3 separate regions of the Mus musculus genome follow, and regions 1 and 2 are each reported to be linked to region 3. Evidence: microRNA targets listed by miRTarBase, many of them from high-throughput screens and not tested one by one. Region 3 holds a microRNA gene; each other region holds the end of a gene's coding sequence.

Evidence for each region. Region 3 holds the annotated microRNA mmu-miR-124-3p (UAAGGCACGCGGUGAAUGCC, at 3,721-3,740, shown strand). A microRNA usually pairs through its seed, bases 2 to 8, with sites in the 3' UTR of a target mRNA and lowers its output. Matches are read on the target gene's strand: a 7mer-m8 pairs with bases 2 to 8, a 7mer-A1 pairs with bases 2 to 7 and ends in A, and an 8mer does both.
Region 1: the mRNA of Fuca1 is a reported target of mmu-miR-124-3p. Seed matches in the 3' UTR shown: 7mer-A1 at 5,304-5,310, 7mer-m8 at 5,051-5,057 and 7mer-A1 at 4,629-4,635.
Region 2: miRTarBase lists Fads2 as a target of mmu-miR-124-3p. The part of its 3' UTR that is shown has no 7-base or 8-base seed match.

The regions. Positions count from the first base shown.
Region 1 is chr4:135,937,328-135,944,814 of GRCm38, reverse strand. Fuca1 (fucosidase, alpha-L- 1, tissue) reads right to left here. Exons shown (of 8, transcript NM_024243.4): 8 at 4,515-5,741. The coding sequence ends at 5,601. Among named protein-coding and RNA genes, the nearest start is that of Hmgcl, 5.4 kb to the left of the region's middle.
Region 2 is chr19:10,058,596-10,066,082 of GRCm38, forward strand. Fads2 (fatty acid desaturase 2) reads right to left here. Exons shown (of 12, transcript NM_019699.2): 10 at 7,007-7,086; 11 at 6,091-6,216; 12 at 4,170-5,719. The coding sequence ends at 5,668. Fads3 (fatty acid desaturase 3) reads left to right here. Exons shown (of 12, transcript NM_021890.3): 12 at 1-1,076. Among named protein-coding and RNA genes, the nearest start is that of Gm29917, 14 kb to the left of the region's middle.
Region 3 is chr3:17,792,003-17,799,489 of GRCm38, forward strand. Mir124a-2 (microRNA 124a-2) reads left to right here and starts at 3,660; the gene lies at 3,660-3,768. Mir124-2hg (Mir124-2 host gene (non-protein coding)) reads left to right here. Exons shown (of 3, transcript NR_033490.1): 2 at 2,591-3,011; 3 at 7,388-7,487. Gm51272 (predicted gene, 51272) reads right to left here and starts at 3,739; the gene lies at 3,683-3,739.

The sequences.
Region 1 (7,487 bases), not on the chromosome of region 3:
TGGTTTCAAACTCAGAGATCCACCTGCCTCTGCCTCCCAAATGCTAGGGTTAAAAGTATGCGCCACCACCACCTGGCTCCCTTTTTTTTTTTTTTTTTTTCCCCAGACAGGGTTTCTCTGTATAGCCCTGGCTGTCCTGGAACTCACTCTGTAGACCAGGCTGGCCTCAAACTCAGAAACCCACCTGCCTCCTTATTCTTACTAAAAGTTCATATCCTGTCATGCTTGCTAACAGCCATCACAGCTACATCAATGAGAAGTACCAAAGTTGTGCCTTTCCCCTTTATAAGCCCCCTGCTCAGAGTGTAAGCATGCAATATCAGCACTTAGGAGCTAAATGCAGGAAGATTAGGAGTTCAAGGCTAGCCTCAGCTACATGGTAAATTTGAGGACAGCCTGAGCTACATGGGACTCTTGTTTTAATTGTGCACTGTAGCTGTATTCAGAGACACCAGAAGAAGGCATCAGATCCCATTACAGATGGTTATGAGCCACCATGTGGTTGCTGGGAATTGAACTCAGGACCTCTGGAAGAACAGACAATGCTCTTAACTGCTGAGCCATCTCTTCAGCCCGGTGGCACGTATCTTTAATCCTAGCACTTTGGAGGCAGAAGTAGAAGGATCTCTGTGAGTTCTAGGCCAGCCAGGACTACAAAGAAAGACCCTGTCTCCAAACAAACAAACAAACAAACACAGGTTCAAAAATAGAATGGGGTCAGTTAGATGGCTCAGTGGGTAAAGCACACCTGAGGCCACAATTTAACATCTGAGACGTGATTCCTGGAGTGCCTGTGCCTGCAGGCACACACATGCACACGCTGGAACAGAAAGCATTCTTAGGGCTGAAATGATACTGAGAACAAAACCTACATTGGAAAGGAAGCCAAGAGGCCTGGGATGGCAGCCTGCACCTGCAATCCCACTGGAAGAAAGCAGCCACCTCTAGGTGGAGTCAGGCCCTTAAAGGGTTTAGCCGATGTGGCAGGATCTGGCTAGGGGACACTCCTAGGAAGATGTTGTTTTCCTTCCTAGAATTCCCACCCCTAATGCAGTCCCCACTGGCCTTGTAAGCCACCATGAGGTCTAGTCTCCACTGGATCTAGTCTAAGCCCCTGACTTGAGAGGTGTAGTCGCCTCCCACAGTCCCTTCCTCCTCTTTTTTGGCAGGACCATTTCTTGGCTCTCGGATGCTGCTCCAGAGCCTAAGCTGCAGGGAGGCTCCCAAACAGTTCGGGTTTCCTTGTCCTTTTTTACTGGGCTCTGGTCCCTAGGCTGTGGCTGCCTCCAGGCATCTGGCCTCCTGCCTTATCTCTAGCCAGGAGCCTCGATATTGGCTCAGTCTCCTCTCCATCCTCTTCCTTCCTTCCTTCCAGGAAGCTGTGGGGTACACAGCTCATCTGCCCTAGGCTTCTTTCAAACTAATCCATTGCCCTCAGCTTTGGTTTGAGTTAGTTCTTTGTGCTTACAACTCTGTTTGCGCTTGTTCTTAAATTTTATTAATGAAACTGAGAACCCCAAGAGGGCACCCTGACTTTCCCAGTATCATATGAGGCTCCACTGGGACCTCCAAAGACTCCTGGCAACTCATCTCCACTGCGTCTTAATTCTTTAATTAGCAGAGCAAATGGACTTGCTCCTGAACCTCTAAACCACATCACTTTGAAGCTGAGGCAGGAAGATCCGGCAAGCGTTTGAGGCTAGCCTGGGCTACACGGTGAGTTGCACAAAGACCTAAGCTACAGAGTGAGATCCCGCCTCAAAAGACGACTAAAAAAAATAGTGATTCTCTCTCTTCCCATCTTCCTTCCTTTCTTAGTTAAAAAAACAAACAAACCAAAACCAAAACGAAACAACCCTACCCCCCCAAAACCAAAACCAAACTAAAACCCCCTAAACCAACCTAAGAACAACAAAACAAAATAAAAAGTGAAGACACCACTAGGTATCTCAGGGAGAAAGTGCTTGTTCCAGCTTCCAGTTGTAGCCTCATGACGGGTTGTCCAGGTAGGAACTCAAGAGAGGCCATGGAAGACTGCTTATTTGTTCCTAACAGGTCACTCAGCTTGCTGTCTGTCTGTCTGTCTGTCTTTCCTTCCTTCCTTTCTTTCCTTTCTTTCTTTCTTCCTTCCTTCCTCTTTTTGCTTTCTTTTTTAAAGATTTATTTATTTATTATATGTAAACTACACTGTAGCTGTTTTCAGACACACCAAAAGAGGGCATCAGATCCCATTACAGATGGTTGTGAGCCACCATGAGGTTGCTGGGAATTGAACTCAGGACCTCCCACTGAGCCATCTCTCCAGCCCCCTCACCCTAATCTTTTAAACAGTTGCTCTGTGACTCAGCTATGTTCCTAAATGAGACCACTGTCTTTTTTTGAACAATGACTTCATGCTGTATGTTTCTCCTTCAAGTTATGTTTGTCGTGGTTTTTATCAGAGCGACAAGAAAGGAACTGATACCATGTTTTTATGCTTACGCATATGGTTCCTGTTGGGCCACCTTCGTGACAACCTTGGGACATACGTGGCTCCCAGACTGTGGATTAGACATGTCTGAAAGCAACTCAAATGTCCATGAACACTGCTTATCCATAAAGAGAATGAAGGAACTGGGGCGTGTCACAATGTAAACGAACCTGCTGAGTGACAGAAGACAAACACAAGGAGCTCAGACCATGAGATCTCAGTGACATGTGACCTAGATCAGGACACACCATGGATGCAGAGGGTGACAGTGATCACTTACACAGTGGGTCTCACAGAGTGCATGGAACATCAGTTCTCAACCTGTGGGTCTCGACCCCCGAGGCAGTTGACTGACCCTTTCACAGGGGTCAAGTAAAGCCATATACACATTATGATTCATAATAGTAGCAAGATTACAGTTATGAAGTGAAATAGTTATGGGATGAAAATAATTTTATGGTTGGGGGTCACCACAGCATGAGGAACTGTGTTGAAGAGCGGCAACATCAGGAAGGCTGAGAACCACTGAACTAGAGGTAGGAGGGTGCTGGAGAGAACTTCCAACAGCCATTGTTTCTTACAGGGATGGTGAGATTGTTCTAACTACTGTCGTGGATAACCTGTGAATATTCTAAACGCCATGGGACTGTAAGTGGGTTTTGTTTGATTTTCTCCTTTTGTTTTTTGTTTGTTTGTTTGTTTGTTTGTTTGTTTTTGTTGTTGTTGTTTCAAGACAGGGTTTCTCTGTATAGCCCTGGCTGTCTTGGAACTCACTTTGTAGACCAAGCTGGCCTCGAACTCAGAAATCCGCCTGCCTCTGCCTCCCAAGTGCTGGGATCAAAGGCATGCGCCACCACGCTCGGCTTCCTTTTGTTTTTTTGAGACAGGATTTGTCTGTGTAGCCCTGGTTGTTCTGGAACTCACTTTGTAGACCAGACTGGCCTCAAACTCAGAAATCCACCTGCCTCTGCCTCCCAAGTGCTGGGATTAAAGGCATGCGCCACCACACCTGGCGCATACTATTTTTTAATGACGTATTTTGATTTTGTTTATGGGTGTTTTGCCAGCATTTATATTTGTGCTCCATGTGTGCAGCCCAAAGCAACCAGAAGAGGGCGACAGACACTGTGTCTGTAACTGGAGTTGTCGAGTGTGTGCTAGGAGCAAGCCTTGACCCCTGATGAGCCATCTCTCCAGCCTTCCTGGTTTTCTCAAGCACATAGGTAACGCTAAAATCTCGTGGTGGGCCAGGCAGTGGTGGTGCATGCCTTTAATCTCAGCACTTGGGAGGCAGAGGCAGGCGGATTTCTGAGCTTGAGGCCAGCCTGGTCTCCAAGGCAAGTTCCAGGATAGCTAGGGCTGTTATACAGAAAAACCCTGTCTCGAAAAATCAAAACAAGAACAAAAATAAACCCAAATTACACAGCCACCATATATTTTAAATTAAAAACAAGGGAAGCCAGTCAGTGGTGGTGAGGGTCTCTGAGTTCAAGGCCGGCCAGGGCTACCCAGAGATGGCTCAGTGGTTAAGAGCACTGACTGGCTGCTCTTTGATTTCAGTTCCCAGCACCCACATGACAGCTCAGAACTGTCCGTGACTCCAGTTCTGGAGGATCCAATGCCCTCTGCACATAAATTCCTGAGTACACAGTGAAGCACAGGTTGAGCTGGTAGTTGTCAAAGACAGACACCAGAATGAGAGAGAAGCCCCAGGGACCACACACAGTGTTCTGCATTAAAGAGACCAAACAAGCTAGCTCTCTCCTCCTTCCCTTCCTCTGGACAGTCTATACAGCTTAGGGCAGCCTTGAGCTCACTATATAGACAGGCCGGACTAGCTTCGGATCCTGTTGGATCACAGGCATGCATACCACACTTGGTTTATGCAGTGCCAGGAACTGAACCAAGGGCTCTGTGTATCCAAGCAAGCATGGTACCAAGTGAGCTCTATCTCCAGGCCACTTTTTTTTTTCTCCCTAAATAAAAAAAAATTTTTTTTAAATTAAAAAAAAAAAAAAACAAACAAACAAGGAAACCAGAAAATGAGTATAAAGCTGTAACCTAAGTTAGGGAAAGAAACCTATCACATGCTTGTGGTAGAAATAATTTGGCATACAAATTTACTTCCATCTTTTTTTTTTTTTTTTTTTTTTTTTTTTAAGGCAAGGCAGCATCGCCTTCTTTCATTGGTATCTCTGTGTCAGAGACCATCCCGTGAGAAAGCGAGCCCTTCACAATCTCCCTGACAGGCCAAATGGCCTCATGCTAGGAGCTGGTTATCACTCCCTCCTCCCTATTCCCTTCCTGGCACCTGAGGCTGTAAAAGCTAAATTATAGTCCCCTCTTCCCTGTCTCTTCCTGACTCCCAAGCCATCCAAGGACATGAGTTACGCCTGAGCCCGGCCTGACACCCCAAGGCTGTCAAGGAGGATCTATGTTCCGCATAGATCTATAAGATGCAGAGTGCCCGCCGCCTGGAGCCTGACTTCGGACCTCATGTGAGCAGATGCCCACTTTTTTGTTCTTTGTTAAAATTCCCCCTCGACCCCTCCCCATTCCCTGCAATGTATGCTATAAAACAAGGCACCTCAGCATAATAAATGGAGACCTTGATAGGTACAATCTACTTGGTCATCTGCTTCTCTTTTCTCTTCCAATCCCATATCCTTACAGGTCTGCGGTCCCCCTGGCACCCACGAATAACTGAATCCCGAGGGACGGGATATCTCTGAAGACGTGCTCAGTGGCAGAGCGTTTGGCTTGCTTGGCATGACAGCCTGGCAAGCCCGGAGGGCAGGACCTGGTCCATCTCTGCGGGACTGGTACCAACCAATAAGGCAGAGGGGGTTGAGCTCGCCAGACCTCTCTGACCTGCTCCCACAGGCAAGAGGATGACTTGGCTCATTATCAGGTAGGTCATCAGAGAAGAGAGGGAAGTTCCACCCTAGTGGAGGCATGGGTGACTCAGCTGAGCTGGCCAGGTCTCTCTGCCCACCAGAAATGCTAGCAATGGCTCGCCCATCCATTAGAACGGCTTGGGAGATTGACCACTGGGTGGAAGGAAGGGAAGCTACTTTATTGCAGGGATGGTAAGCAGCGCCCCAGGCAGTCTGTCCTTGAGCTCCTTTGATCAGTTCACCTTTGTCAGCTTCAGAGTCCACGCAAACTCCACCGGCAGAACGGTAGGTGGCAACTGTGGCAGAGAGATGAGGACGCCCTCCAGTGGATCCTGGGTCCAGCTCAGGTCTCCTTCTAGTCCTAGCATTGTTATCTGCAGAAGGCAAAAGTGGAGAGCACCCGGTTATTCACTGATGAGCAGACTGTGCTCCAGATATGGTGGGGGAAAAGCTGTGCTGGGACAGAACAGCAAAGACAGGTGGGTGGGACATTCGTGTGGAAGGAACCTGGGAAGGAAGAAGCAAAAGCCTGCCATTAGCCAGGCATGGGGTAATTTTAGCACTGGGAGGAGACAGGAATGTGGAGGTTTGGTCTTTTGCTATGTACTGTGATGCTAAATACTGGCCCCCAAGGCCTGGTTGCCTCCAGGGATGAGAGAATCTGTACAGATAAAGTAATGCTATGTGACCTTGTTCCTTAATTTAAAACTATTGGTTGACTAGAGATGCCAACAGCTTATAACTGGGCAGAGGAGAGGTAGGTGGGATTTTGGTACCCAGGCTTGGGACCATAGGTGGAGAGAGGAGTTACAAAAACATAGCCATGAGGCTGGAGAGATGGCTCAGTAGTTGAGAGCACTGACTGCTCTTCTAGAAGTCCTGAGTTCAATTCCCAGCAACCACACGGTGGCTCACAACCATCTGTAATGGGATCTGGTGTGTGTCTGAAGACAGCTACAGTATTCATGTATAAATAAAAATAAATAAATAATATTTAAAAAAAAACCAACAACATAGCCATGAGGGCTGACCAGATGGAAATGGCAAGTTATACCTTGGGGGTTATTGATGGAAAAGTAGACAAAATAGCATAGAGGGTAGATATCTGCCCAGCTCTAGTGCATTAAAGGCTTATTATAAATATGAAAGTTTTCTGTCTTTTATCTGGGAACTGAATGATCAAAAGTGGGGTAGAAACCCCCAATTGAGATTAAATACTTAATACAACACAGGAGAGCCACAGGCTGAGATTAGCCTGAGTTACATAGAGAACTCAGCTTAAAAAACAAGAGCTGAGGCTGTAGTTCAGTGGTGGAATGTTTGCCTGAGCATGCCTAGGCCCTGAGGTCTATCCCCAGCAATAAAAAAATGAAAAACAAAACCAGAACATGCTAAACCTTAGGAGGGTGCAGGGAGCCATGTAGGAAAGGCGAAAGGCTGGCAAGTGTCTCCTGGAGCTAGCTTGTCATTCTGCACGGCCAGCAACGGGTGGGCTCCAAGCAGGCAGGGTCCTTAGAGACTTCATCCCGGGATTGGGTCTCTCTGCTGATACGCTTTCCTGTCACTATTACACAGCCTAAGGACTCCTGGGCATTATCCCACCCTATTTGGGCAGACTTTCTGCAGGCCAACATGAAGATGTACTTTCACATAGTAATGCTGGACAGACGAATTAATGACTCCATAATTCCTAATGATTTTGCAGGATTTCTAAGTTGATATAAGTAATTTCAAGTCCTCTATAGAATAAAAGCTGCACTTAGAGCTCGGTAAATCTTCATGTGTCATGGGCTAATTGTACTAGAAGAAAAAAGCAAGCGTGGAACAAATTTACGATCGCGGACAACATTCCTTCCAGGTTAGCTGTGACACTATTATCTGGTAACTGTGACACTATTATCTGGTAAGTACAGGTCACAAACTGGGCACGGAGAATTTATTCTAGGTGCGAGAACAGCAACTACTGACTAGTTTATCTATCCAAACCTTCAAAATAATAAGACACAAGGCAGATAATTTGTCTCTTGACAAAACTGTGCTAACGCGTGACATTAATGAACTTAGGGGCTAGTGACAGGTAATGCTTAGTGAGACACTAGCCTTCATGGGAGGACATGTAG
Region 2 (7,487 bases), not on the chromosome of region 3:
ATGCAGTGACTCAAGTGTGGCCATTCTGTCCCTAAGTCCTTTAAATATAAGGACTATTTCTTGAGCAGGAACTAACCTCTCACTTGGCCTCAGGATCTTCATCTGGACAATGGGTACAGTTGACAGTTGACTGCACTATCAACCTTTGAACAGCTCAAGGCAGAAGTTTTGCTTTATCTTGATTCTCTCCCCAAAGTGTTAAGGATGCTCCCTTCAAGCTAAGCACTGCAATCTGGGAAGGCACCCCTTCCCTAGTGCTTTACATCCAACTCAGTGCTGTAGGCATGCTAGGCAAGTACTCTACTACTGTCCTAAACCCAAGTTTGGTGAGAGAGGAGAGGGGACAGTGGACTCTGTCAGCCCCAGCACCGACACCCCATGGCTCCAAGCTGGGCTACAGATCTTTAAAGAGGTCTCAGAAGCTTTAGGCTGTAGCAATCCCAGCAGAAATGCTAAACTGGGCATCTCCTGTAGGAGCTGAGGCCTCATCACCAGCTGTGGGGACTACCCCACCCTCTCTCCACTCCCTGTGGCCTCCTTGCCTAGGGGAGTACCAGTGAAGCCTCCTGGATAAAGCGAGGGAAGGAGAGGTCCCATCGCGTCTGGGTACCTCCCTTGCTCTGTTCCATTCAGCTCTCCCTTCCCTGGGATTAGGTGGATGGGGCTAAGTCACGTGTCTGCTAGGACTTAAGGCTGCTTGACCTCAAGGAAGGAATTCAAGCTCTTAAATCCAAAGTAAATCCAAAGTGTCGCTTTCAACGCGATGAGAAATAAAAAGGATGCCCTAGAAAGGCTTGCGCCAAAAGGCAGAAATGTATTTAAAAGCTTTATGCGTATGACCCCATGCCTCTGGGCTAAACTGTTTTGTTCTCTGAGACAAGCCCTTTGCTTTCTCTGGACTTTATTTTCTTCCTCAGGTAAGGGCTGAAGATCCCTTGAAAGCTACTTCTAAGCCCTGTTATATATACTTGTAGTCCAAGGTACTTAACAGAAGGATCACAAGTTCAAAGGCAGCCAAGGCGACTTATTAAAATCCTGTTTGAGATGATAATAAATATTTTAAGGGTCTGGGGATGTAACTCAGTAGGAAGTCTTCTAGCATGTGTTCGCCGAGTCAAGCTCTAACACACACACACCACTACTTCTTGCCTCAAAAGCAAATTTCTTATACCCAGAGTGTATCACACCATCTTTCTGTACTTCCGTTCCCTGCAGAAGTCCCCTTTCCTATCCAAACTTTGATGATCCTAGTCCCACATAGATATGGCATTCCCTCAGCATACTGTCTGAAAGCACTTGGTCTCCACTCTGGCAAAGTCAGATTTCTGTTGGTGTCTCTGACGTGCTTAGAGATGTGTCTTGCTCAGAGGAAATCACCCAGCCTGCAGCACCATCCACGGGTATCCACATGACTGACTGCAGCTTGGACTGTGTTTCATGCTGCCCCTAGTGGTAGCCATGGGGAATGTGCTCTTTCCCTCCAAATCCAGAGTTATCCAATAAAATACCCTGCAGAGACCCCTGCCTTTAGGTCTCTTCCTTCTACCCAGAGCCCATTACTGATAGGTCATTTTTGTCCCACCTTCCCCTGTCATCTATGCTATAGCTCCTGGCAGTGGGTCACCTCCACTCACCTGAGTCCGTCTTCCTGTAGAGATCACAGACCACACTTATCAAGAGGACAGGAAAAGGCCATGGTAGTACCTTTGAAAGACCCCACTGTCTCCCTTTCTATTTTCTGTCCAACAGTCCTGAATCCAGAAAGAAAGGTTCCAGAGGGAAGTCACGGCTTGTTTGTCCTTTCGGTCAACCAATAGCTAAGAGACTCCAGTGGCCAGCTCCCACGAACCAGCCTCTGCCTTTGTGGGTGCGGCTGGCGGTGGGGAGATAAAGGCCTTGCGAAAGAACGATGTGTAAACATACTTTGTCCTTAAAACATACTGTGTTCTTAAAGACACCAGTACTTTCCAAGCCCTGTTTCCTGTTACTAGCTCCCTTTAGGCATTATTAGCTCTTGAACCAAATGGTTTGAAGCAAAACCCAATTAAGTGCCTTCCAAGTCCCCACCCCACCCCCACCCCCCCACCCCCAAAAAAAAGAAAGAAAAAAAGAAAAAGGCTTGATTCTGGCAGGAGGCAGTGGAGCCACTGTGAAGTCCTGAGACACTGGGCAATTTTATGTTTCATTTATCTGTGAACCCAGTCTGCCTAGAAATGCGCAGTCCTGTCAGTCAAAAGAACACCAGTGTCCAGATCGTACAGCAAGTCTTTTCCTCCAGCCCATTCGCAGGTCACCAGATGACCTGCTGGGACCCACTGCTGTGTGATCTATCTCACAGCAGCAGCTGTCCTCTGAACAGTACTTTCCAAGCCAGCTGAGCCGCAAGAGGCCCAAGGTATGGTTTCCCAAGTGGCTGTAATCTCCTTCTGTTCCATGACCTTCTTGCCTGAGGCCTTCTCCTCCCTCCCAGTGGCCCCGAGGGCTCCTCCAGCTATACACACAGACAGACACGTACAGAAACCTCTGGGCTTCCAGTTATACACACAGATAGACACGCACAGATGTTCAGGCTGCTCCAACAGCCCCAGAGAAGCCTCTGAGTCTGCTGTCTGGCATAAGCTCATACTACCTCAAAGATAGTAGGGGTTTTGTTTTCAATAGCACCTCATTCCTGATCATCTCTTTCACCTGAACTAACTGCCCCACTGCCTGCCTCTACCCCTGGGGCCAGCCTCCCGTACAATATGACATTTGGTATGATGGGGTAAAGGGGAAGAGATGGCCCAGCCAACTGGTATTCCCCATGTATGCTCTGATTCTTCTGCTGACACTGTGCTGCCTCAGGGTGAGTATCTTCCCCTCTCTGGTGTCAGCTTCTTGGCCTGTGAGATGTTAGGGTTTCATTAGGCTGGGCTTTTAAATATTAGAGAAGTCCATGACTTGTTAGGGGACAGAACCCACCCCACAACTTTGGGGATATTGGCCAATAGCCTCAGTTGAGCACTGTAACAAGAGAGGAGCTATTCATGTAGAGAGCAGGGATGTATGTCTTCTGCTCTGGACCTTAGGTAGCGCTCAAGGCAGAAGCTAGGAGTGTATATGAGAAAACACAAGCTCATGGATGTGAGCCTAAATTTACCTTCACATCTGAGACACCTATCCCTGCCGGGTTCCCTTCAGTCACCCTCCCACTCCCCAGATCTCTGGGTGTCAGCTGCCATAGACCCCACATTCACAGTTGGCAGGGTTTGGCCTGAGGCATTCTGGGTATTGGGGGGCCAGGTCCTGCCCAAGCAGCAAGTGGAAGACAAACATAGGTAAGTTCTGAAGGTGTGTTCAAACAAGTCTGCCATCACCAAAGTCTCCAGGGGGCTTATCAGTCAGGTGAAGCCAAGGCTCTTGGAGACTGACAGAAATCAGCCTTGGAGGCATTCTATCCCATGATTTCTTTTCCTCAAGGAGGAAACTGTGGCAGTGAGTACCCTGGAGATGAGGTGGAGGAAGACTCACGCAGGGCCACTCAGAGGATCAGTGACAATGTCTGCCATCCCAAGCCTTGTACTAGTTACAGTGTGGTCACTGGGAATCACCCCCCACAGACTTCCTACTATCCCTCCATACTTATATGGATAGGTTCTGGTCACCTATGGAGATGAGATCTTTGCTGGAGCACTCCCCAACCTTGCTGGGAGCAGCTACAAGGCCAACAGAAACCTCGGGAGTATTGGCCACCCCATGCCTGATGGCTCTTCTGACACCTCTGGAGTGACATGGCCCTTTGAGCCTGTTCCGAGATGGATGCAGCATGGGTCCAATTGCAAGGTGAATTGGGCAGGTACCTCAGGTGCAGATGACTCTGGCTTCCCAGGCTGGAGGTCAGACCAGGGCGTAGGAACTGTAACCAGGGCTGGAACGATATAGACCTTCCCTAGGCTGTAGAGACTCCACATGGGCACAGCAACACAAAATAAAAGCCTCAGTCTCCAGACCCGTCACCGTCCTCTTAGAGAGAGGACCAGGGAGGGTTCTGTTCACCACTCGCCTTAACAGTCAGGCCCTGCTCTTGTGGGGCAGCACCGCCCTTCCTCCCAGACCCTGCATTACCACACCTGTGACATCAGCATACAGGAACACTAGCCATCCATTGATCTTGCTGAACTACAGGCAAGTGAGAATAAAATTACTTTTTTTTTTTTATTTCCCAAAAAAGTAGAGGCGGGGAACAAGATGATACAAATGACTGCCATCTCCTATGGGTTCTCTGCCTCTGTGGAACAATACCAACTGGTCTCTCTTGGCTCATGGAGTCCTAGAGGGCTTGCCCTGTGCAGGCCCAGCCTTTTCCTCCAGTTTACATATTGGTTGGTTAGTCCAGTTAGACCTCAGAATGACATAGCGTGGGTCCCCTCCTGCTATAGCCGACGTCCCCCCTCCCACCTGCCCTCACATTTCCCTCATGCCCTCAGCCTCCTCTTCCCTCTACACTCCTGCTTGAGCCTCACTGGGTACCCCCAACAGCCCTCCTGAGACCTCACACCCTACCCTGTTTTTCCTGCCTTTCTGATAGCAGCAACCTCAAGCCACAGCGTATACTGTGGCCTTGAAGGCGAAGCCTAGCTCTACCTGAAGGGCAAGGGACATCTAGTAAAGATGGATTGTCCTAAGACCCAGCCAGCCCTCTGCTACTCTCCTATTAAGAAGAATTCTGTAGGAAATGTTAACACAACAGCTAAAACAAACAAGCAAACAAACATCTGTAAAGACAGGGATGAGCCAAAAAGAAGCCAAGTGCTGGCTAGATTGGCAGCTCTATCCTGGGGAGAGCTGCTCAGGGGCTCTCCTGCAAGGTCCACATTCTCTAGACCAAGCATCTGGAACTGGCCAGAGGATCTGGAAAAAGATCTGATCCTTCTAGAATCTTGGGCCTTTTAACTCAGAAGCACCTGACTGTAGTGGGAGAGGTTAAAGTTCCAGGCTGGTCAGTCCCTCCTTCAACCTGGCTACTGCCTCTCCTGAGCCCGCACAAGGAACACTCCCTTTGGTTTCTGGAGTTGGGTAGATGATGAAATAGAACCTGTACAAACCCTATGGTCTGGAGTTGTGATGGTGGGCATGAGAGAACTTTTCCTTGGTCCTCAAAGTCTAAGGTGGTCCTTGGCAGCTGGAAAGAAGCCTCAAGTACCAATCCCAGCCATGGGAAAGACACTCAGAACGAAGCATGTCTTCACCCAAATGACTACACCATAATGCTGACAGGGAGTGTAGAGCCAAGTCCTGGACTCCTGTTCCACAGGCCCCCAGAGTGTCTGTGGGACAGAAGGGGGTGGGGACTAGGCTGCCAGGAGCAGAATCTCATACCAGGAATCTTTAGGTGCAGAAGTTAAAGGCAGACGCGTAACCACCTGAGACAACCACCTCTCCGGCTCTCTGGGAGAAGGGACTGGGAGGCAGAGGGGATGGGGTCAGGGCTGACAAAGGGGGAACTCCATGAGAATGGAGTAGGTAGGGGTGAGGGAAGAGGAATAACAAGAAAGGATGCAAGCCCGGGGAATGTGAGGCAGCAGACACTTCAGTCTCATGAGAACCCTTCAGAACAAAAGCCCTCCCCTCCCTCTGGCTGTCACCCAACAGTGCCCCTTTCCCGAGGGTGCCCGGAGGACGGCAGCTTCATTTATGGAGGTAAGCATCCAGCCACAGCTCCCCAGACTTCTTCAGTGAACTGCAAATAGAGAGAGGGGGGCAGGGCTCAGGAACCAGATGGAAGGAACCTCGGCCTCCAGGCAGTGAGACTTGTGGGAAGTCATGTTGGGGCGGCAGGTGCTTCCTCTCAGCTACTGACTAGGGCTCACCACTTACCACAGGATACCACAGGAGCTGTGGGCTACTGACTAATACACCCCAGAGAAACCCCTGGGAAAGGAGAGAGGGGAGGTCCTCTTCTAGCCCTGGGTAGACAGGAATCCCCACTGTGAGCTAGAGTCCCTACTGTGAGTAAGGCCAGCCATGTGCCTCTCACCTCCTCAGCCCCACCTCATCTCTGGCCCCTTCCAGTGCTCCAGAGCTTCAGCCCTTGTGGAGCTCACCCCTCACCTCACAATGTCGATCAGGGCCCTCAGCAACGGCTTCTCCTGGTATTCAATGCCATGCTTGGCGCAGAGAGACTTCACCAGTGGGGCAATCTTGTGCAGGTTGTGACGTGGCATAGTGGGGAAGAGGCTGGGGGAGCAGGTGGGCAGAGTGAGTGCAACCCAAGACCCATGTTCTCCACCTCCTCTCCAACCCAGGGAGGCAGGCAGGGCTGAGGTCCTATCTTAAACCAGGACTAGACTGTGGCTCCTGCCAACTGCCTGAAGATGTTACTGGTGGTGTGTAGAGGGGCAATTTATGAACAGGGGCACTGCAGAAAGCCGAATTGAACAGCCAAACACAAGAGTCTTATGTTAAAAAACAAAAAGAAAAAGGGTATCAGGGCTCACGCCCCTGGCCTCATCATGTGGGAGGCCAAGGCAGAAGACCTATGTAAGTTCAACACTAAGCCAAAAAAAAAAAAAAAAGGAAATGAAAGAAACGGATGGAAGATGAGAAGAATAAGAAAAGATGAGAGATACAGGAAGAGGCAGCAGGCAGCAGGGACCCTTTGGGCCCCTGTGTACCAGATATGCTATCTAGCTGGTCCTCAGTTTCCCAGCCAATAACCAGGCCCCTTATAGGTCTGCAGGATAGTCTTGTAAGCTTTCTATATCTGCAAAGAGGCCACACGTGAAGGAGTGCAGTCCCCAGGATGGCCCATGTGGCACAGAGCCTGGACAGCAATGCCTCCAGGGCACGCTGATCCCAGAGCCCCTCTCCTGCCCAGCTGTGCTCTAGGGTGGGGTGGTGGTGGTTTTGCCAAGAAGAGAAGATAAACCTCATGGCACCCTTGGCCTGTGGGTTAGTGGCCACTGCCCTCCCGCTCCTTGTCTCCCCTCTTCCCCCCACACCCCCAACATTGCTGGGCTGTACTCACTGGTGCTCAATCTGGAAATTGAGGTGCCCGCTGAACCAGTCATTGAAGAAGGACTGCTCCACATTGCAGGTGGCTGCCAGCTGCAGAGGGGACAGGGCATCAGTGGCTGGTGTGTAAGAACAAAACCAAAGGACCTGGACTTACCCCATAAAGGTCACCTTAACCAGGGTTTTAGGGCCTCTCTCTAGGTCATACCATTCTAGCCTCACCCTCCCAGACTCCCCAAGTTTCCTCTGGTAGATTCTTATCACTCCTTCCATATTTCCTTCTGTGTTGTTTTTAACTTATCCTGGCCTTGGACTCCTGATCTTCCTGTCTCCACCTCCCAAGTACTAAGATTATATTATGGGTCGCCACATTGAGTATATTGGGTGCCAGAGATAAGACCCAGGATTTTATGCATGCTAGGCAAACACCAACTGAGCTGCGTCCCCAACCTTCTACCCTCCTTTCTTGCTTAACTGAGGCTGCCACACCAACT
Region 3 (7,487 bases):
GAAATGGGGCTCACATACTATTCTCCTCCTTTTATATAATCTTAAAAAGTTAAGAAGTCAAATTAATGAAGAAACACATTGACTTAAAATTTTCCAAAGCACTGGAGCTTGTTCCTTCATATGGATCAAAACCATGGACAGCGAACTAGTTATTAAGCAAACCGACTCCAGCAAAATTGTGTGTGAAATTTTACCTTCATAGCATCTGTTGGAGGCAACGAAAATTTTATTTTATAACAATTTGGAATAAATCTTGAATTTAAAACTAAAATTTGAATTTAAGGGATACTGTATGCATTCTACCACGTTTTAAGGAAATGATAATTCATATCTTCAACATCTGTCCTTTCTCATGGATGTGACTTTTTAAAAATCAAACTAAAGGTCATTTCTACCTTATGTCACTAGTAAATTACAGTTTTAAATACATTCATTTTGGTATGGGATGTTTGTTATAGGACATACAGCTGAATAAAGAAAGAGAAATTTTATATTTTGTCTGGGATTAGCTGAATGACACTAGAGCAAATTAAATAGATTTTTATCAGTGACTAGGTTTCTAAATGCATAGAATTGGAAAAATTAAATGCCACTTTGATAGACAGGGATAATATGAATAGAGATATGACTCCCATACCCCCATTTATTTCTGGACAGACACTATAGTGCATAACTAACTGTGCAGTGACTGGTTAGACGGACACTCACCCTAACCCCCAGGAAAACAACAGACTTTCACATACATATTGATCCAGGTTAGGGCACAGGTTTGGTTCACTGTGGCTCTGTGTCAAATAACTATATTGCTTTTTGCATGAGTTTCATTACCTTAACCTTTTCAGAAGTGAAATTCATCACAATTATTTCTCTTGTGGATTATATAACTGCTCCCTTAAATTTTCACTTTCAACCCTGTGACTTCTGACTTATTTTGTAACCAGTCTTCTTTGTGACCTGTAAAGGCCTGGAAGATCGTATAAATCATTAACAACACACAGGTTAGAAAAATTAAAAAAAAACAATTTACATTTAAATTTGAAATAAAATTCAAGTGACGTTGAGATTTGTAAGGCAATGAATTCCGGATCTTTAGCCATCGTGCTTGTCCAGAGAATGAAACTGCAATTCTTTGAATGTCCTTGTTTCTTAGCATAGATGATAGATATGTTTTTGACACCCGCATTTTAAAAATTTAAATATTTAAAAAGCATTTGAGAAGGATATTAAATGGAATTTGGTGGTATTCTGATCATTTCATAATGGGCTCTTGTGGTTCTTGTAATGGTGGCCCAGGGCTCTGGTAGAAAGCAGAGACAGTTTGGGAGTCATTGTTTAGGAAGGTGCTCCAGCCTGTCTTCATTCATAAGAATAAGCATAAAAAATTTAGACCTTGGCCTGGGGAAAGGACAATGGTGGGGACGAAAGATGCAGATATGCCTTAACCATAAAATGAAGAGGTGGTCGCTCATCTGGAGCTTAGCTCTGTCCATGGTGAGGTGTTGGCTGTGCGTGCCAGATTTTAGATGAGGATTGAGAAAGTAGTACTGTCTCTATTTTAGGAGACAGAAGCCAAGTGTGGTGACTTTGACTTGTGTTGAGCCAGCCTGGACCTTGACTGGGGGCTGTGCAGAAGGCAAGAGAGACTGAGGAGCTCTGTCTTAGGTAGTTGTATTGGGGCCAGTGTGGTGCGTGCAGGAGAGTGTAAGCAAGGGCAAGGAGGGTGCCCTTTGCTTTGCCCAGGCGCAGCTCTTGGGGGCTGCGCGCCTTCTGCAGCTCTTTGGTTTCAAGGACACAGCGAGCTGTTCAGGACTTTGGGAGCCAACATCTGTCTGACTGGTGACGTCAGCAGCCCGTGTAATCCTCTTGTGCTGAAGGCAGATGCCTTATTTGTTTGGCTGGAGCGAGCCATTAATCCCTAATTCTGGATCAGCAAGCGAGGGGGAAAGACCGGACCGCTACGATCCACCCCCTCCCTGCCCCCACCGCCCATCCTAAAGCACCTTATATCGCGGAAACCACTCAGCCTCCTCTTTCCTCCGAGAACACGCGGAGCAGCCCCTGAAAACGCTTTGGTCCTCTGCAGGTTTGAGCAGAGCTAGCAGCTCTTTCGCCTTTGGATTTCTAGGGCTATGCCTATATGAAATTCTTTATTTCATCGATCATTTCGATTTTCATGCGAGAACTCTTCAGTCTTGCAGTTTGCAGGATTCTAAACCAAGAAGGGGTGGAGATTGGAGAATGCGGTTCTGGCGTGTGGTCTGAGGGAGGGGTTAGATGGGTAAGGGCGCGCGGGATGCGCAAATCGCTGAGACTGCACAGAGGACAATCTGAGGACTCGCTTTCAAGACTCCATCTCAGGAAAACATTTCTCTCGTCCTGACTGCATCTTCTCACCTTCCGAAGCCGGGATTGAGTTGGGAACTCCCCTGTCGCCCCGCACATTGCAGGGGCTCCCCGAGCTCGATTCTATAGGTCCGGACGGCCGGTCACCTTGGCTCCCTAGAGTGATTCCTCCCTCCTCCTGTCCCTCCTCTCCAGTCTCCCCCTCCTCCCTCCTGCTCTAATTCTGCGCTTTGATTCTGTTTTTCAGGGGGAGCGCTCTGGGGTCTCCGCACAAAACCTGCTTTTGAGCCCTTTGGCTTTCTTCAGGCGAGCGCAGTCCGTCCATCCCCCTGGCCCACCCAGCCGCAAGGGATGCTGTGAAAAGAGCCGCTGCTTGCCGCCTCCGGCCTGCCGTCCAGAGGGCTCCGCCCGTAGAGGTCAACTCCCCTCATTCTTCTTCTTTCCATCTTGCCCTCCCTCCGCCGAGCCCAGACTCGGATCTCCTCCTGACTCCCGCCGCAGTCAGAGAGAGCGCATCTGCTGCGCTGCCCTTAAATCTACGCCCAGAGCGGGCTCAGACCCGATCTCTGCTCTCCAGAGCCGGAGGAAGCCCGAGCAAGCAGCCTTTTCTCTTCGCAGTAAAATCATAGCCAGACCAGATGGGCCCCAGCTCTCCCGGGACTCGGCAGGTGCTGTTGAGTTAATTTTTCCGCAATACAAAGAAGGAGGACCCAGCCGGCCTGGGATTCTGATCTTTTCCCAAAATTTCCCAACCAAAATCGGGCTATCAAAGGCGTATACGTGTGTTTGTCGGACATACAAACATGCATGATTATATTCGCTTTTTCTGCTAGATCTCTGGCAACAGGGGATGAGTGACAAAGGTTTCTGCAGCAGAACACTCATGGTGTGGTCCTTAAAGACTTGCCTTTCCTTACAAATGTCTTAGGACGGCATTCAGGGCGAACCAACTCAGTTAATTGCCTTCAGTAAAATAACACGATTACGAAATTAGATCTGTACCAGAGGGGTAATTAACTTCGATCCATGTCATCATTTGAAAACTAGATTTATAGACATATGTATGGGTTTTAGGTGCGCTGTAAATGGCATGCAGATGTATGCATAAGAATCGCAGACTCATGCACCCGCTACTCTTCAACCTTGCAGACTAATTAATGGCAACTCTGACAGATGTGGCGGGAGGAAAGCTGAGGTGGGAGTACTGCTCAGAGCTACAACTCTAGGAGTAGGGACTCCAAGCCTAGAGCTCCAAGAGAGGGTGAAGGGCAGGGAGAAAATTATAGTAATAGTTGCAATGAGTCACTTGCTTCTAGATCAAGATCAGAGACTCTGCTCTCCGTGTTCACAGCGGACCTTGATTTAATGTCATACAATTAAGGCACGCGGTGAATGCCAAGAGCGGAGCCTACGGCTGCACTTGAAGGACATCCGAGAGAAGTTAGGAAGGGTGGGGAGAAACAATTCTAGAATGAACCCATCCTGTGCGACACAAGGACCCCTCGCATTGATTCAAAATCTTTAGAATACAAGACAGTCAAATGTTTTTCAGCGAGAATCTGGGAAATCCGCATGCATACTCCCAAGGGGAATATTAGAGGTTTCATTGACAGCTGTCAGGAGAGCTGTAGTTCCCATTGGTGCAAACGGTCTAAGAGATGGCACTCAGAGAGTGCTGGCCTTTTCCAAATAAAATTCTGGGTCGAACTGGGAAAACAAAACGGATGAGAAACCCCAGACCACACTGCATAAGAAACCTCAAATGACTCAATTATCAGTGAAAATAGGACCCCCGCCCCAAGCTTTTCACTATTCTCCCATTCTTTACCCAGTCTCATGGTAGCCTTGACTGGATTTAAAAGGCCAAGGCAAAGTGACAATACCCAAATCAGTCAATATTGTCCAATAAGAGGGAAAGGCCAAGCCAGGAACTCTAAGACTTGGTAAATTAATGTATTTGGAAGACCATGAGGTACTTAGTTAAGGTAGGTTCCATAACCCGAAAGCCTAAGAAAACCACCGCTGAGAAAGAGCCTTGGTGGAAGTCTTTGTTCTGTGGTGGCCTATCTGGCCTGGGAACAAAGGAGAGGCTGGAGAAGGATAACCCAAAGTGGCCGCACCCTCGCCTTGCTGACAGGATCATCTTCCTCTTCCTCTTTCTTTTCCTCCTCCATTACCTCCTCCCCCTCCTCTTGTGGTAATTCTGCAAACAAGGCAATAGAATTATAGAATCGCTTCTTCTCTAACCCAGCCCCATACCCCAGGATATTAGTTAACTTACAAATAAAAACCTTGAAATACGGAAAGACAGGCTAAACAGTATTTTGCTGAAACCATCCACTCTGACAATCAGCTGATTTGGCCAGAAACCCGAGTAGTTAACAAAATGTGCTAGAGAGAGATTAAATAGATTTTTTTTCCTCTTAAATCACAATCTTGAAAAGAGAAACACACGGTTTTCAGTTGAGGATCTTATCTCAGATATGGTCACCAAAGATACCTCTCAAAGGACCCTAGAGTGTGCCTCAAAATATATTTAAAAGGTTCTGACTGAGGTTGATTTAGTGACCAGAGCAGGCAGGAGTAGAGAAGCCTGCAACCACTCTCGTGGCTCTCAGCAAGGCTTTCTGTGGGACAGCTTTCCTTACTGAGTTCTGAGGCCAAGGCCCACAGAGTGGCAGGGTGATGGTGCCCAGGAGCTGGCAGTGAGCCTCGCTCCTCACAGGAGGTACTGCAGTCCTAGGAGGCCTGAATCCCACAGTGCAGAGAAAACCATACTGCAGAGCACAGCTCACTAGGGAGGCAGAGTAGCTTACCAAATCCCATATAATGAAGATTTGTCTTAGGAGTCCTGGGTCAAATGTGTCTGAATTAATGCATTCAACATATATTTAAAATTATCAGCATTCTAATTTAAATATTGAGAGTATTGTATATAAATAGTAAAATATTAATTTCTATATTGAGTCATATGTGCAATGGAAAAAGTAATAGACAATAGATTGGTTTGTATTCAGCCGTGGGTCCAGGAAAGAAAATGTTCCATGCTTGAATTTCTTTGTAGATTCACATCATAAATACTGTCAAACATCAGTCATAGATAAACTAAACAAAGCTGTAAAGAGACACAGTGACAGTGATTTTTACCTGGGCATAGAAATGGTCCATAAATGAACAATGGCCTAAAAAATATGTTTTTATACTATTTCTTCTCTTCCACCTGAATGGTTGAAATGTAGCCAATGATTCAGGAAAAAATGAGCTCAGAAATGATATTCTTGGGGGTCTAGTTCCTATTCACTCCATCCTAAAAAGGTGGCTTTTAGTTTTGTTTTCTGATTTTAAAACTCTGTAAATTAGGATCTTTATATCCACAAATTTTAGGTTTGCATTTGATTTTACACAATCTGGGGGGGGGGGTGAGATGGCGATATCACACTTTGTTGGGACAAGAGCTACCTCAAACACAAAGAAACCCCCTCTTGTGTCGCTGAAAAAAAAAAAAAAAAAAAAAAAAAAAAAAACTCACCAGAAATGGGAATGGGTTTGAAGTGCTGAAGGTTGTCATGGATGCTCCTCCTTCCAGCAACGACCTAGTTATTCTGGTGGTCTCTCCTCACAATCCCCTGAGCTCCTCACAAAGCAAAAAGGGTCTAACAGTCCTGCTACATCAGTGTAATTCATATTACATAATAAAAACACAATAATACTCCCCGACCTAATCCTACTTGTTTACAGCAGTCCTATACTCTCGCTTCAGAAATCTTAATCAGTTAAAAAATATATTTTCTAAATAAAAATGAAACATGTAATATGAAAGAATTTAAAAAGTAAGGGAGCAAGTACAGGACTTAGTCATCTGGTTGCTATGATTAAATCCAGTGTGGTTATTGATTCATGGTGTTTGTGTACTTTTAAAATTAATTATTTTCATTTTTTATAAGTAATCACCCAACTTAATGTCCATTACAAAATTTTCCTGCTATGAAATTCTGTGCTCAGCAGTTTTCCAGCAAAACAACCCAGGTGGACAATTAGAGAGCTTTGGTGCAGAGGACCATGCGAGTCCTTTAGCAATCACAACTTTCATCTAGTGGTCTGAAATTAGAGCTTCTCGGGATAATTTAGGAACAGCTTGACCGGTTGAGACTCTCAGGGACAACCCTCCTTGGGAATAGTGTGTTTCTTCCAGGGAGTAAGATGCTAGCGCAGGGAACCGAGGCATCTGGTGTCAACAACGCCAGAGCGCCCTCTGCTGCTCCCAACAAATAGAACACTGGTTTCCGAAGCCAGATGGTCAAGAGTTTCAATAAGCCCAGGAAGCAGTAAGCTCTTAGGATCATTTAATCTGTAGAATTTAAAAGCTTCCATCTTATTCTTCGTCCGAAAAGGCTACCCGATTTTCATCAGGACCACTCCTGGGATGGTTACATTCTGAAGCGAGAGGTCATTGTTTAAAGCAGATTGTCGATTCTATTGGTTGTATTTCTGTGTCTTTTTTTTTTTTAATTTTATAAAAAAATATGGAATTGTAAATCTGAGGGCAAAGCCTTTCTAATAGGCAGCTGAAAAAGAAATAAGTTTCTTGAGTTTTGCACATAACTGAAGTCTTATGATAGGAAATATCTGAATTAGAATAAAGATGCCAAGCTCAAGGTGTTTACTTATTTTTGAAGGGCACTGAACCAAAAGTAATGCCTTACATAAAGAATGATTATGCTGATTTTGTATTACTATTAACGCCAATTTTCAAAGATAGACTTTGAATAAGAAAATGATTTATGTTTGAGGAAGAAGCTGAAATTTTTGAGTCATATTAATTTATCCAAAATTTCACCTCTGAAATCTTCCTAGTAAGTACTCAAATGGTAAAGCTACCAGGAAGTAGACGGTTATAAATAGAACCATCAGGGATGCAGAGACGGAAGCAGTGTGTGCTGTACTCTAAGTGTTATTTATGGAGTTTATGTACGGAAAAATCTATATGAAATGAAAAATAGGCATGTTGAAAAGTTAAAACGTTTTTGATTTTATGTTTCATTAGGCTTATATGGAGTAAAATAATGTAGAATGCTGCATCACCTCAGCGCCGTGAATTTAGAAGTTCCAGCATGTTGTGAAGCAGACACATCTTTGCTATGAAC